Alligator mississippiensis: one gene and its partner. Each later gene encodes a partner of the first gene's protein in a complex. Links are inferred from orthologs where the notes say so. Each region holds a gene or a part of one and is shown on either strand. Other genes may lie near its edges. The genes, in order: PTH1R and PTH.

Region 1 (9,256 bases):
GCCCTGGACAAGACTTCACGGCCTGATCACCCAGTGAAGTTGCATTCACAACATTTGGGGTGGTGAGCATCTGCTTTGACTAGCTACAAGCCTAAATTTTTAAACTGCTACTGCTACTTCAGTTTTAAATAGAATGGTATCTGTTAGGGTTCAATAAACTCTCTTTAGTTTAGGTCAACTGTGTCGTACTCTCCTTGCCTGGTATAAGACTGATCATAGGATCATAGGAATGCAACAAATTGGCGGAGAATGCGGGCAGCCAGGTAACGGGTGCGGACTGTGGATGTAGGTTCCCCTGTGTTGGTCAGACTGTGAATGTAAGTCCAGCAACATGGCACAATCGTTTTTGGCCTGTGAAGGGATGCAGGTCAGATCATGTCATGTGCAGATGTGTTCAGGACCAAAAACACATGCACAGTCGTTCTTGTTTGCACCAGTGTGCAAGTCCACTCAGGGGAACGGATCCATCCATCCTGTTACTAACCACAGGGGGGAAATCATAACCTCACCCATGAGCATGTCTTGAGCATGTCTCTAGTGCCCCAAACACAACTGACTATGCATGACCAGGACAGGAAGGATCATGCCACAGTCTGGGTGTTATGCCAGGACTGCAGAGATCCAGCTTCAATCTTGGAGTCTGCCCCACTCTTCTGTCGTGCCCTTGAGCAAGTAACTCAGACCTGGTCCACACTGCAAAACTCTGTTGGAGTTACCTAGGTCAGGTACGGGCAGGGGAAGAGCGCACCACCTTTTGGACATAGCAATGCTGGCATTACCCCAGCTGACGGGGCAGTGCTGTGGGTGGCTCACCAGGCATGACTTGCAGAGATGTGGCAGCAAAGGTGGCAGATGCTGCACCTGCACTAGGACGCATCGCCATTTAGCCTTTCCGAGGTAGACATGGCAGCAGGGACCCCAGTGCATAGACAAGGCCTCTGTCTCTCTGGGTTGCCATTCCCCCTCTGCCCAATGAGGATAGTCATCACTGGTAATCCCTCGCAATCGAGGAGGATTGTCTTCCATGATGACCTTATCTGTTGGTCCAAAGATGCCTGATAGGGCCAATCCACAAGTGACAGGCTCTCTTGCAACTTGGGCACGTGTTTGTATGCAGGGTGGGTGGCTCTGGATTTCTGGTTTGTCATGGGAGATACCTGTGCGTGATTTCCTTTTTCATGAAGCTGCTGCACATCAGCTTCCACGCAGTTCTTGACAGAATGGGACTTTGATCCAGTGGCAAGGAGACCAAGACAACTGGAGATCTCATTCTGCCGCAGCCTTCGTTCACCTCTGCAGCCGTTGAGGTTTTAACATCTTCTTCCACCTGCTCCGCCATTGAGGATTTGTAGATCCATGGCTGGGGGCTGGGTAGGCTTATTATAGTGGCAACCTCTACTTGCCATGTCGCAGCACTATCAAAGGATGTATGTGGCTTTTCAGGAGGGAGAGCATTGCCATCTGCTGTCCCCACCATAGCCTGGTGGTGCTGCCACTGCTTATCCATCATTTAACCTTCTCTCGTTCACCACTAACCTTCCCTAAAGGGAAGCCAATCCACTACCTGTGGACACGGTGAGAAGCAGCATGGCTCTGCCACCAGAAACAGGGAAGTTGCCTCATGTAGCCTTGTCAGTGATGGGTTAATTCTCACGGGGATGAGCTGCCATAGTGATTCTCAACCAGGGTGCCAGCAGATCTGGGTGCTGTGGGGTGCAAGGCAGTGTTAGTGCTGTTAGGTGCACGAACATGATTGACAGGTGAAACCAGAGATCCTATATATAGCACTCCCCAAGTGCCCGACTGATCCCCATCTCCTCCCCACGCTGCTGCTCTGCTTTCTGCTCCATTCCTTGTGCTCCCGGCCCAATTCGCTGCTCTGCTTTCTGTTCCCTGCCCCATCTGCTGCTGTGCTGCCTGTCCCCACCCTGATCTGTCACATGCCATGCACGGAGGCTGCCGGTGCTACTCGTGGCCTCGGTGCCACAGGTTAACCACCCTTTTCTGTAGTCAAAATACCGGTTGAAAGCTCAGAGCTGGCATTTGCTGAGGGAGCCCTGGAGTCTAACAAGGGGCCCTTGGTTGAGAATCACAGGGCTAACAGATCCAGCGGTGCTAATTAGCCAGCCTGAAGTGCCACGTGAATGCAGGAATGCTGTTCTGGATTAAGAGGTAACAGTGCATTCAAGGATGCCACTCCAGAGCAAGGTACATTTAGTGTATAGTCAGGGCCTGAGATGCTCAGGCACTGCAAGGAGCAGGGCGCTGCAACTAGCTAGGATAGAAGTCAGGGTCATGCGTGCATGTTTGCTGGTGACCCCGACCTGGTGCAGCTGGTGAACCTGATTTGCCCTGGCTTTGCCCCAGGGATGCTCCCTAGCACCAGGGCAATGGACCTGGGTATTTGACTGTCCTGATCTCCCAGTTGGTTTCCCCCACTTCTCTCTGGATCAAGCATCGTAGCATAAGGCAGGCGCACGGTAAACCAAGTCCCATTTGTGAACCTGCCCCAGCCCAGAGGAAATCAGGGGAAAGACCCCGATGGGTTTGGATCATCTCGTCTGCTCTGTCAGGGCTTGAAACTGTGTCCACACAGCCAAGGAAAAGCCAGGCCTGGCTCTCATGCAGGGCTGATCTCCTGTTTAGCACTGAAATAACAAGCGCCAAGCTGCCCTGAACCGTGGGACGGGAAAGATTAGCAATGTAGGGGTGGCCACTGACTCCTGGCTACTGTGACCGTCTGTAGACATGCAGAACCTGGGCCCCAAATATCAGCGCCAAACCCTTCAGGGGCCTCTGCGGCCCACGCCTCCCCACCTTAGCTGCCTCGGATGGAGGGAGAGGGCAGAGGCAAGAGAACGGTTAGCACGGTGCCGCTTCAGCAGTTCCCTGGCCTCTGTCTTTAATCATTAAATTCCCAGGGGCCCCGCAGGGCCCGAGCAGAGCGACCCTCTCTGCAAAGAAGCGGCGGGTGGATGCCTCCCTGTTTGTCTCCCTGCGCCAAGGCGGGCACGGAGCAAGGCCCCGCCGTCCAAAATATGTGAGCAAACACACAGAGGAGAAGTCCAGCGCCACAAGCTCCGGCTCGGCAGGCTAGCTGCAAAGACGCTATCACTTTCCCAGGGGCGGTGGGTGGGGGGGAGCCTGGAGCATTTAAGCCGGGGCCAGATTCTCCCCTCTGGAGCGAGCCAGGCCCCTCAGGCTGCAGCGGTTTTCTCCGCCAGGGCATCAAGCTCCAGCATGCATATTTGTTTAATCCACCCCATTTCTGCCCTGCACCGCCGTCCCAGGAATGTCTCTCCCAGGCCGGGGTCGGGGCTGGATTTTTGTGCATGGTCGACGTCGCCTATAGCCGGGACCCCTTCTTCGCCCTCGCCCCCATCCCACTCCTCTCCTAGAAGGGTTGCAATCAGATGCACGGCCTAAGTGGAGACATGTGTAGCCGCTGAAACCAGCAGCGAGAGCTTGCAAAGGCACCGAGCTCCCTCCTTAAGGAGTGGGAAGGTCCGAGACGGGAGGGAAGAGGGGGGTGGGAAGGGGGTGGGGGGACGGGCTAAGGGGGTGGGGTGGGAGGTGTGGACAGCTAACCCTGTGGTTCCCTGCCTGAGGATCACATGGTGGCTATGGCCAGCCAATGGGGTCCTGGCCATGCTGATTTTTATACCTGCCTCCCTGCTCTAAAACTACAGGCATTCACTGAGAGCCTCTCAGACTGGCTGAGAGGCAGAGCGGGGAGGAAGAGGTTGCATCCAGAGCTGAACTTTTTTTTTCACTTTTTTTTCCCCCTCCCTCTCTCCCTCCCTCCCTCTCTCTTACAGGAAGCCCTCTCTACCTTAGCCTTGGAAAGAGCCCCTTTTCATAAAATCAGCTGAAGGCACCCATTCACAGCCAAAAGGGGGTTGTGAAAAAAAAAAAAGCAAGCCAACCTTAAAGATTTTGCACTCAAAGAAATCAAAAAGAGAAGTGGCCAGAGGTCCACCCGGAGAAAACTTCAGGCTGCTTGTTTTTTCCCCCCTGTCTGCTCTACAAAGACCTTGATAGAGGCTCCAAAAGCTCCTTTTAAATAATAATAATAAGCAGAAATCCACTGTTTGTGCCAGAATAAATCAATCGCTGGCAAATGATTTCAGCAGGGATTAGCTAAGCGCCCTACCCCAGTCCCTCTGGAAAACACAGATCTGATCAATGGATGCCTGGTGAGCCCTTTTGGCTTAAACAAAAACTATCGCCGTTGCCAAAAAAAAGTGTGTGTCGCGGGGTGGGGCGGGGGGGAGAGTTGTGTTGATTTTTTTTTTCTTCTCCTTGAAACTTTATGAATGAAACTGGAGTAAGGATCCTGTCTTGGAAATAACACGCTGGTAAATTTTATCCTGGGAGTAAGGGGGAATGGTTAGAGGGGGTGGTCTTAGCTCACAACTCGAGAGGCGGCTGCTTGCAAAAACAGCGTGCTTCTCTTTTTTGGGGGGTGGCTTGAAGCTGCAGGGTAGATGCTGGAGGGAGGCAGCTCCACAGAGGGAATAACTGGGAGAGATCCCCCCCAAAAAGTGCCATAGCAATTTTTTGGTAATGCCCTCTCTCTGCTCTGGGTGGAAGTAAACAGGCTGTCAGCATTTTCCTCTTGCTAAGCGGAGCTAAAGCAGCAGCAGCAGCCAGCCCGAGTGAGAATCAGCAACTTTCTTTTTAATTTCGGGATCTGGGTGCTTATTCTTTCTGGGACAGGACAAGAAGCGTGCGTGTGTGTGTGTGTGTGCAGGAGAGAGGGTGCCTTTCTGCAGATGGCAAGGCGAGGAGGTCGGAAAATGTCCTGCAGTCAGTAAAAAAAAAGGGGGGGGGGGTCCTTTTTTTTTTTTTTTTGAGCGCGACATCTCAAGTCAACTCTTTAAGAAAGCAAAAAAATTCAGCCCCGCGCCTCCATGCCCTCCTCAATTGGCTTTTTGAAACTGCAGATCCTTTGAGACAGACAGGGGGGAGAGAGGCAGAGAGAGAGGGAGAAAAAATCCATCTTGCTCCCAAGGAGAGCCGGCTGCAAGCTGGAGAAGGCAGGCAGAATAAACCTATTGTGGAGCTGAAATGCACTGAAATATAGCAGCAATAGAAAAGCCCGAGCCAACAGCACCCCTCCTTGCACAAACGTAATTGCTCAGTGAAAATAGTTCCAACTTCAGGCTTTTTTTTTTAAAAAGAAAACTTGTGATTTGTTTGCTTTGAAGGGGGAGAGGGAAAAAAAAAAAAAAGGGGGCGTTTTTTTTTCCGCCCCCCTCCCTGTGAAACCTTAAAAGATAAAATTACTGGATCTAAAAATAAAGCAGTGGTTAAAACCTTTCCCCCACCCCTTACAACTCCCCCCCCCCACCCCTCCCATTTCTCCCTCTCTCTCTCTATGTGTGTTTGCATTCGACAAAGAAATGATTTGAACTTCCCACTGCCTCATAAAAAGGAAACAGAATAGCAGTTTTGACATATGGATGTGATTTCTCCGCTCTGACACAGATGCACACACACTCACAAGCCTGCTCCTTTTCACATGGACTCGTTGCCTACATGCATGAAGCGGCTGGAGGTGCTCAGCAATGAGAAGGCGAAGAGGAGGACTGGGCTGGCTTGTCATTTGCCTCTTGGGTTGAGAGCCATCCGGCCAGACCTCTGAAGGGGTCGCGGTGGAAGGACAACTCCTCTCCAAGCCCGGATCCCTGCAAGAAGCTTTCTCTCCTCCTCCCAGCTGCCCAGAGAGCTTCTTGGATGCTGCCCTAAGCGTCTTGGCTATGGGATCATATCTGGTTTATCACAGCCTGGGTTTGATCCTCTGCTGCTCCGTGCTAAGTTCTGTCTACGCGCTGGTAAGTGCCTGAAACGCTCTCCTTCTCTCTTCCCCCTTCTCCTTCTTGAGCAATTGTTTCGTGGCGCTTTCCTCGATGAGTAATTTACTGCCCGGAGATTCAGAGCGCTGGGTTTTTCAGCCTGATGTTGTGTGTCTCGCGGTGGAGCCTGGCCGCTTCTGGGCTGGGAGATGAAACGAAAATGTCTGGATTTTCCCGAAGCTTTGGCATTAGTTTTTTTGGGTTTGTTTTTTTTTTTCCCTCCCACTCCCAAAAAACAGAGAGAACATTTATAACCCAGGTATTGGAAGTATTCTCCGGGCTAGCCCCGCTCCAGTCCCTAGCCAAAGTTGTCCCGTTAACAAGAGGCCACGGTTTTGTGCCTTGCCATCCAGGACGAGGATCTGAATCTTAACGGACTCGAATTGGAGCTGAATTTCAGCAAACCCTTGCTCCGGGCTCTGGCAGGCTCTGTACAGTAGCATGCCGGATCCGCTGTGCAGTTCACAGAGTCAGCGCATGGATAGCATACCGTTTACACTCGGAGAATGAAAGTAGTATTAACTCTTTACTAGCTCAGGCTGTGTGTGGATGGGGATGTAGGTACACAGGGAGATTTCCTAGGCTGGAGATGCCCTTAAGCACCATGGACGCAGTTGTCTTCCCAAGTGGGGCCATGAGAGATTTAGGTCCCAGCTCTGCGGCCAGGGGTGACTTGTGCCTAAGCCTCCTAGGAGCCCACCCTGCCTTGTGCTCCTGTATGAGCACCTGCCTTTCTTTCCCTCTCCGCCGTTGCGGGTATCACAGTACATCCCTGTGGCTGCACAAGAGTGAACAGTAGTCGAGACAGTCACCGTTCAGGATAGGGATCAGACGTCAAACATGAGATCAGGTTGGGAAGGTCCCGGGATCTTCCCATCTCCACTCAAGCAAAGTTCCCGCTGAGTTTTGTGCGTGTCGGAGATAGGCCTGTTGCTTGGGGAAATGCGAAACAATGCAGCACTCCAGTTTTTAGGACATGTGGCAGGGTGTTGTCAATTAAAAGGCTCCTTGTTAGACAAGGAGAAAGAGCAGTCTATAAAACTCACCACCACCCAGATGTTCTGGCTATGGGCAGACTTCTCTGGCGTCATGTCTGGGATACACTGTGTATAGGCAAGAAAAAGCAGGGTCCACTCCAGGAGATGTGCTGATGTGGGGGGAGTTTGCAATAGCGATAGCTAAGGATGTTTCTTCCCGACCCCTCATGTCCAGCATCTAGCTGCACCCAAATTACCCCACTCTGTGACATCCAGACCCCTTTGGATGATAGTATACTGCAGTTGAATATGCAACACCTGCTATCCCTGCGCTGCTCAGACCTGCTTCTCTCAGAGTCGATGGCAAAATCCCCACTTCAATGGGCGTTGGTGGGATCTTGGTGCCCTGCAATTATTCAGGCTGAATTCCCCAAATACCAGCAGCAAGGATAGATAGGGGAGGATGCAGGGTCCTACCCACTTCCTTGCTTCTAGTCTCCCCTTTCCACGGCGGGTCCCTGCTACTAGCAGAAAGCACAGGGAATATCTGTGGGACCACAGGCGACACGCACAGAGAGGCTGTCTCAGTTGCCATGTCCTTGTAATGGACATTTCACCTGCAGATTATTCACAGAGCCAGTAAAAATCTCAGCAAATAGACAACTGCACATCTTAATCTCTGGGATTTGCTTCGCAGCAGGGGAGGGCTGCTCAGATACATGCATTGCACTGTGAGTGACTTCAGGGCTCGGGGGAAGGATGAACCGGGTTGTGTTTGGAGCAGGAGTAAGACCAGCAAAAGCAAAGGAATCACTTGCAGGGAGCTGCTCATTGCCTAGTGCGTTGTGTTGTCGGCATTCACGTTTGCACCCAGAGGTACTAATTCAGCCCTGGGGTTTGGTAAGGTTGTGCTCATCTAACACCGTTCATTTTAATTAGGCAGCAGAATCCCTGGCAGTGAAGTACACTTATACTAGGCTATTAGGGATCATTTCTGTAGTTCCTTCCTAGAAAAGGGTGTCAAAAAGTGATTGATCTGCCAGGGATGGTCAGTAAGGTTGTCAAAGGGGTTGCAAACTGTTCACATCTGGTGAAATTCCCCACGGCTTTGGCTTTTGCCAAGGAGGAAAGAGAGGGTCATGATCCTGAAGCTTAAAGCATTTGTCACGCTGCTGCATTGCAACCTGCAGTATGCAGCCAAACTGGAGCTGGGGCAGGATCCTGCTTTTTAACCTTCCCGCTTTGCACATGAAAAGTACCAGCTGTGCATGGCACTGACCCAGTAGAGAGCATATGGTGCTGCTCAAACCCCATAGCAGAGCCCCTGGAGGTAGCTGGATAGATACAGCAGGATCCCAGTGTATTTGGCAGCCTGCTCTTACAATGCGTTCGCTTCTGGGGTGGTGAGCAACAGCCCTGCCGCGTAACAGCGGAGGATATGCAGACAAGGGGTATCTGCAGCAGACCATACTGTGCTGAATGTGACTGGTGATCTTTAAGGTCCATGCAGAGCAAACAGGAGCTCCCTTCTTAAAGTCTGAATTAAAAGCCCCCCCCCCGGCAAGGCAGCTGATCGACTTGTGAAAGGTGCAGGGTTAAATCAGCGATTCGCAACCAGCGTGCTGTGGGGTGCCGTGATAGCCTTTGCAGGGTGCCGCACTGTTAGAAGCACAGACACCTACACACGATTCACAAGATAAACCCAGGTTCTTTGGGGAAATGTGATATAGCTTTTATTACACCCACTAAGGAGTTGGGAAAAAAATTGTTCTTTGCAAGCTTTTGGGCACAAACAGCCTTCTTCAGGTGTTTCTTATTAGACCAATTTCTTATTAGACCAACTTCACCCTTCTTATTAGACTCACTAAGTAGCTGGAAAAATTGTTCTTTGCGAGCTTTTGGGTGCAAACACCCTTCTTCAGGATGTTTGCACCCAAAAGCTTGCAAAGAACATTTTTTTTTCCAACTACTTAGTGGGTCTAATAAAAGATATCACATTTACCCAACAAACCTTGTCTGCCTATGTCCTTAGACCAACACGGCTACAACCAACACCCCCAAAAGATAAACCCAGAGCTTCCAAATAGGAAACCCGAGTCCCCCAACCCTGCTGCCCCGGCTTTTCTCAGTCCTTTGCCACGAAAGACTCACTCTAGCATTTTTTTCCATTCTCCAGAAAGGAGTGAAAGCTAAAAGCTGGCATTCCCAAGGGCTTTGAGTCTTTAAAAGGTGGAGAGCCACCGGGCTAAATGAACCTGCTTGGGCTTTGCGGCTGTGCTTCTTGAGAGGCAGAAAGGACTAGCCTAAAACTTTGCTCACTTCCATGGCTGGATTGCTTTGGGTTTATGGCCCACGGGCTGAGATCAGAGCGTGGGTACATTCACATTGCTACCAGCCCCCGTAGAAAACCATCCGGAGAGA
Region 2 (6,620 bases), on another chromosome or scaffold:
TGAGAATGGTTTCCACAAGCAAATGGTTCCTGCCCCAGCAATTTGACAATCAAATATCATATTCCTGTTAATACCTACTACCTACACATGCACTTTGGTTCTGAGAGTTGCAGGTCTCACATACATAAATTAGTCATGTGTGGAGTCTAAGATGGCATACAGAAATTGTAGAGATAATGAACACGCTAGATGAGGGAAAAAAGATATGTTATAAGGTATTTGTTTTAATTTGAATTATTTGATTATTAATTATTATTTGATCCATAACAATCTCCATTTTTATTTACTTAGCCCCATGCTTAGAGTCATGCCATCACCTCTGCCTGTTTGGTGTATGCTGTTACTCTTAGCCTGTTATCTTTTACTGTCACTTCAATATTTTAATTTTATTTAAAACTTATCTCTCTTGCTGTTTATGGAGTTAGTTTTAATTTTAGCCCTTCCTATTTTAATTATTAAACTGTTTTGGTTTTCCTATCTTTATAGTGTATTTTGTTTTTGCTATTTTTAAACTTAAAGCTCTGTTTTATTTTTATGTGTAACTAACCTTTACCAATTTTTGGATTAATTTATGCCCTATGAGTAGAGACGTCAACGTGACAGCTCAACGTGCACCAAGGTAGGCCTGTATTTAAGCCTTGACAAAATTAGTGCCCTATTTATTATGGAGATAGTGTGCCACCTTTTGTCATGTTGATTAGCTACCTATACGCTCTGGGTAGACTCAGTGATTCCCCTCAGATAAGACACTTTCCATGTAAGAGTTGCAGAATCCTGCCCTAAATTATTTTTTTAGCCTCGCCTTTTTTAGAACTGTTTATATTTCAACTCATTGCTTGCTTGTCTTTTTCAAATATAAGGATTAAATGTTGAAAATAAAAGAGACACAATTGAAGAGAAATTCAGAAATTAGCAGCAGTGGAGATGAGCAAGCTATGAACATCTCTTGATATATGTTTGTGCACTACGTTGCTCAGTGGAGTTGCAGTCTTGCCTGGGGCCTCTAGGCTTTACTGTAATTCAAATAAATAAGAATAAAATGCCCTGTTTACTCAGTGACTTACAGACAAGAGTTTGCTTGGACAGACACAATGCTATGGCTGTTTTCACTGTGATTTAGTTTTGAAGAGTACATCCATATAAGCGTTGTCCAAATCAATGGGTTTCTTTTGCACGGCTGCCCGCAGGTGCTCAGGGAGGAGCCTCCGTCTTCGGACCTCTCCCAGGACATCATCCTTCTTTCGGGGCCTACCATCCACCAGCGCTTCAGGTGCACTGTGCACATCTTGCAGTTTTAACTGAAGCCAGTCCTGTCTCTCCACAGTATGCAGGTGTTCCCCCAGGTTGTGCATCAGTTGCATCTCACTCACTGACCGCTTCCTGTAGGAAAGAATAACAACGGAACAGCCTCTTAATGGTCCTCCCCTGAATTCTTGATCTCTATCAAAGCCCTGGATTGGAAACTTTTGGGATACAATGCAGTGCAAGATGCAGCTGCAGAACCTGGCCTTTTACTCAATAAGGGATGTTGTTATCTGGCACAACGAAAAATGATGATTTAATTAGTAGCAGATTTATTAGTGTGAGGAGGCTCAGAAGTTTGAAACAGTCTAGTCTGTATTGTGTAAGTATTGGGTACTGCCATCATTTATTTGGATTATAATTGTATTTATGTAATTGATCAATACCATGAAAATAAAGTATGTTGCTAAAAACATCTCCAAGCTCAAAAATGTATGACTATATACTTACGTCACTGATCTTCCATCAGACTTTGTAAAGAAACAAATTGCATATAAAATGATAGCAATCTTGGTCATATCTTTAATAGAAATCATGTTAGCTGTAAGACAGAAAGAAAGACAAAAATTGATGAATCTGTTTCAAATAATTTCCAACTAATTAAGCAAAGGGAGCAATTTGGGTAACATAGGGCAAAGTTTTAAAGGCAGGCATATTGAGAAAGTGACTGAGAAATGTTTTTCATGTGTAATGACTAGAATAAGGGATTTAGGATTGTGAAGAACTGACTTCTATTCTTAATTTTGCCAGTGACTTTGGCAAGTCTAGTACCTTCTGTGAGCTTCAATTTCCCCATTTATCATGTGGTAATAATACTAACCTAACTCTTAACATCTTTGGATGCAAAGCATCACTAGTTGCAAAATATTACAGTTATGATTTATTATTCATTTCTATCTCATTGAAAAGATATTTTTAAGTACTTTGAAATACTTCTGTACATCCATGATGCCCACGGTAGCATTCTTTTATGTTTCCTGTTTCTCAGTAGGCATGTTTATATGTTCATTAATGAGCCTTAGATACTGCGCATTTAGTTTAGTACTTCTTTAATAAAGTACTAAATGCACAGTACCTAGAGTTACTGTGCAGTAGCATTGGTGCACGGTTATTTAGTGACATTTACTGTGCAGTAGCCTAATAGCACTGCACAGTAGGCTATTAGCATGGTTTTTGCTGTGACATGCTACTGCACAGTGTTATTAGGCTCATGCACAGTAAGCGTCTGGTGTTAGATGCACCCAGTGAGTTGCATTTTCTGAATTTCCTGACAGAACTAAGAATTTGATTTTACTCTAAGCCAGTTTCACACTGGTATAATTCTACTGAATACAGTGGTATTATTCCCCATTTTGACTTATGTAAGTGGGATAGAAATCAGTAGGGATCCTGGTTTTCTCTGAAAAAAATCCCCAATTTTTGGATTAAAAGAGTAACCCCAAATCCACATTTTTCCATGATCAAAATGAAACATCACAATATATATATAGTGATGTTTCATTTTAATCATGGAAATATATATATATATATATATATATATATATATACACATACATATACATATATATATGTATATTTCCATGTACATATATGCATATATGTATACTACTATTCATAATTTCATAGCCTATTGTTAACAACCATAAAAAGTATAATTTTACTTTCATTCAATATGTTTAACATAATCAGAAACAGACTAAAAGTGTGCAGCCTGAAATATCTTTTGAAATAAAATCACTTGTGTAAAATAAAAGAAAATATAGCATACTTACCAAGTAATATCTTAAACAGGTCTCTGTTTCAGATATGTCAGCAGCTGACTGTCTTTGGAGTCGAGTATATTTAAAGACTACTGAATTGGTCTAGTGGACCCCTTAAATGTAACTTTAAAATAGAACTTCTAAGTAACTAAGAAGCCCTTTTATTGTCTCAGTTGATGTCACTCCCAGCACACACCCCCTGACCCTCATGTACCCACCCTCTTATGGTTTTGTTAATTGCGCATTTAAAGAAAGAGAAAAGAAAGGTTTAAGATAAAAGAAAGTATCCTGGGTAACCCTGAAGAGGTTTGACTTTTGGGGAATCTGATTTTGGGTTAGGAAGAAAATGCAAGTAAGACAATTATCAATGACTGAATTTATTGATCAACTTTAAATGTTAATGACTCCACAGATGACTAAACACAGTAACCTTTTAAAGCAGAGTACAATGACCATATGAAGTAAATCCCATGTTACAGGAGCCTTTACTAAACAAGACCCATTCAATTTTGACCCTAAATATCTTATTCCAGATTGTTACGTTATTCTCTAAAAAGAAAAACTAAGTATTTTCAAAAGATAATTTCAGTTCAATATTGAAAATTGCTTTGAATGCACCTGTTGCAAAATAGAACAGATTAAAAATAGTAAAATGGATGAAATATTTACGCAGCTATTTTTAACTAGCTAAATTGCCATTTCTACTAGAAACACTTTTTTAATTTTACAAAAGGAATGCTGATTCTTTTTATTCCTTACCTTTCTAACAAAGTAACAATTATGAGGACAGATCATTTCAATTGGATAGCATGGCCCCTGTTCAGCAGAGTACTTAATCACATTTATAACTTGAATCATGAGAGTAGTTCCACAGAGTTGCTGAATTTGGGTCATGGTCTTGATTAAATACCATTTTTTAGAAAATTAAAAAATATTGCCAAGAACCTTAAATCAATGTAGACTTTGATAAAATTTTAGCATTAACATGAATATATACATAGATACATGTATATTATATATTAAAGACTAACTTTATCTCACCCTCTCTATATAACTTCAGACACTTCAGGGTTCAATGATGAAGTCCAGGAAAGCAAGGTAGGATCCTACAGCGTATGTATTAAGCAGCAGTACCATGCTGTTTCATAAGTTGTATATATTCTTATTTTGTTGTAGAACTACAGAAGAGATATTGTAAAGAAAGGGTCCTATTCTTAAAACCTCACTGAGGAGAACAGCTCAGCTTATTTACCAACAAGTGGGACTACTCTTGTGAGTGAGGCTCCAGGATCAGACCATCTGAAAAACCTTCTTAGGGCCCGTTTCTGCAAAGATCACCGTATAAGGGGAAACCAGGCACTCACTTGGAGTGCCACTATTTCCACAGTGCTCCATGGAGGGAGAGAAATCCATTAGCATGGCTTTCATGGCAGGACTTGAGCTTTTGTTGAACCATTGAAAGACTTGATCTTGCAAGCTTTCCTATTGATTTTCAGCTCATACTTTATTTATAGCAGCTTGCCAAATCTAGGGACATTTGTGTGTGTTTTATTTGGAGAAGAAAAATCATAAGACCACCATCACTTCTTATGGATTTTTAAGAAAATCAAAATATGGTTTACATGGCGAAGGAAGACTTTTGTTACACTGTGTTGAGGAAATAATATTTGAAAGCAAACAAAGATGAGAAGGAATAGCTGAAATGTTACATAGTTAAGAGTATTTTACAAACTGAGTTTTATTTATTAGTTTGGACTTTATGCTCACGTATCAACTGTCATCAGAGGATTTAGCACATGCCAGAAGGGGAAGTACATGTTGTTATCCCCATTTTACATAGAGGTAAGATGAGTGACAAAGGTTTAGACTCATCCAAGTCAGTCAACAGCAGAACTGTGAATAGAACCTAGAGCTACTCTTAACACTCCCTGTTCTGTTAGGCAACAGCTTTTTCAACTTCTTCAAAGAGCAATGTTGCTCTATGAATAAATGCTTTATTCCATTGTCACTGCGCAGAACTTGGTAAAAGGTCATATCTGCTCAAATTTTGTTCTAGAAATAGCTGTTGTGTTCTGAAAGTTTAAAAAATATCCTTCTTCACTAATAATGAGCTTTTTTAAACTAGGGGGTAATATTCTTTTGTACAGGAGGCACATGAATAGCAAGTTATTTGGTTCTGAGAAATCATTGTCAATAGGTGCAAAAAAAATGAGAGGTTATTCTTAGGAGAATATGACTGGGCTGTTATTTTATGAGTTGTTTCCAGTTCTTTGAAATATCAAATGTCTGCTACAGTTTATGAAACTATGCAAAGGGAGTGGAACGGCTATGTAACATACCTTGTGCACAGGTAAAAACAGAGTAATTCTGCTTTATTTAAATTGTCTATTACTGACCTTAGAAAGGAAACAATACAGAGATGCACTCCAAAGTGCATTGCAGTAATATCTTATCCATTACATCAGACTTTGTAGCTGTAGGCAACAGACAATGGCACTTCAGAAGGGGAGGATGGGGCGTGATGATGCTGGAGTCACTCTGTGGGAAGGAAGAGCTGACCACAACCTTTTCTTCTGAAGAGCTTGATCAAGCACAGAACTACCCTTCCCTGACCTTCACGTATTGATTGAATGGATACTTTAACTAACTGTGCACGATGATACCTTGCATTATTCCATTTTCAGGAGGAATGCCACCTTGCCCTGTATTTGTGTCACTGCATATCATTAGACTCTTATTACCTGCAAGATAGATTTTTTTCAGTTTGGGAGATGGATGATGATAACATTTTTAAATTACAGACTCCAATACCCTTTCTGAATTATATTCATTTTAGCAAGAGATAAGGTTATTTTGAGTGAGATCATTCACAGACTTAAAATTAAGCACATGCTCAGTGCATTACTGCAACAAAGCTAGAAAAGCACAGCACCCTGCTGGATTGCTCCCTAGATAATTCAAATACATTTTCATAAATTAAATATGCATCTCCATGAAATTATACCCCTGGAGATTTCTAATGCATTACAAATCTAATTAAGGTTAAAATATTTAAATGACATACTTCTGTTTTAGTGACAGTGTTAGAATTTCATCCTTTGTATTGGTAGGAGCTCTCAGCTAAACTGCATTGTAATCACCTTGTCCTAGGAGAATATTACTAGAATTCTGAGCTGAGGGAAGAGGAGGATGGATGGTGACACACTGGCTGACTGTGGTGAGGCAACCTTTCTAAATGTGTCTGAGGAATGTTTCTGTCTTGACACAATGCAGATCCAAAATGACAGTCAGTAAACTCTTTAGATCTTCATTTGATTGACAAGATTTGTGGCTTTTCAAATGCCTCAGCAGGATGTTTGGTCATTTATGTAAGCGGTGTGACGTAACCTTAGGTGTCTCTTGGGTTACCACAGCGAGCTGAAGTTTTAATCAAGTTAATTCCAGTTAAAGATGAAAAAGAGAGAAAAAAAACCTTGTGCGAAATTCAAAATGAAGCCCACTACAATTTTAGAAAAGCCAGTTTGTGTAGTGCACTTCACTTTTTAGCAGCCCCTACTA

Evidence for each region.
Region 2: the proteins of PTH1R (region 1) and PTH are in contact, whole or in part, in a cryo-EM structure (PDB 9JR3), measured with the Homo sapiens proteins. The link is inferred for Alligator mississippiensis from reciprocal best matches to the Homo sapiens genes PTH1R and PTH. Residues at the interface, in NP_000307.1 of Homo sapiens: Val31, Met32, Thr33, Lys34, Glu35, Gln37, Ile38, Leu41, Glu111, Trp112, Asp113, His114, Ile115, Ile135, Tyr136, Asp137, Phe138, Arg146, Arg162, Thr163, Ala165, Tyr167, Val171, Leu174, Thr175, Glu177, Glu180, Arg181, Phe184, Leu187; in NP_000306.1 of Homo sapiens: Ser32, Val33, Ser34, Glu35, Ile36, Gln37, Leu38, Met39, His40, Asn41, Leu42, Gly43, Lys44, His45, Leu46, Asn47, Glu50, Arg51, Val52, Glu53, Trp54, Leu55, Arg56, Lys58, Leu59, Asp61, Val62, His63, Asn64, Phe65.

What each region holds. Positions count from the first base shown.
Region 1 is NC_081828.1:216,069,636-216,078,891, forward strand, and holds the start of PTH1R (parathyroid hormone/parathyroid hormone-related peptide receptor), read left to right. Parts: upstream 1-5,324; 5' UTR 5,325-5,762; coding exon 5,763-5,837; intron 5,838-9,256.
Region 2 is NC_081825.1:202,020,808-202,027,427, forward strand, and holds PTH (parathyroid hormone), read right to left. Parts: upstream 1,839-6,620; coding exon 1,753-1,838; intron 1,381-1,752; coding exon 1,107-1,380; downstream 1-1,106. UniProt on the Homo sapiens protein: Parathyroid hormone elevates calcium level by dissolving the salts in bone and preventing their renal excretion. Acts by binding to its receptor, PTH1R, activating G protein-coupled receptor signaling.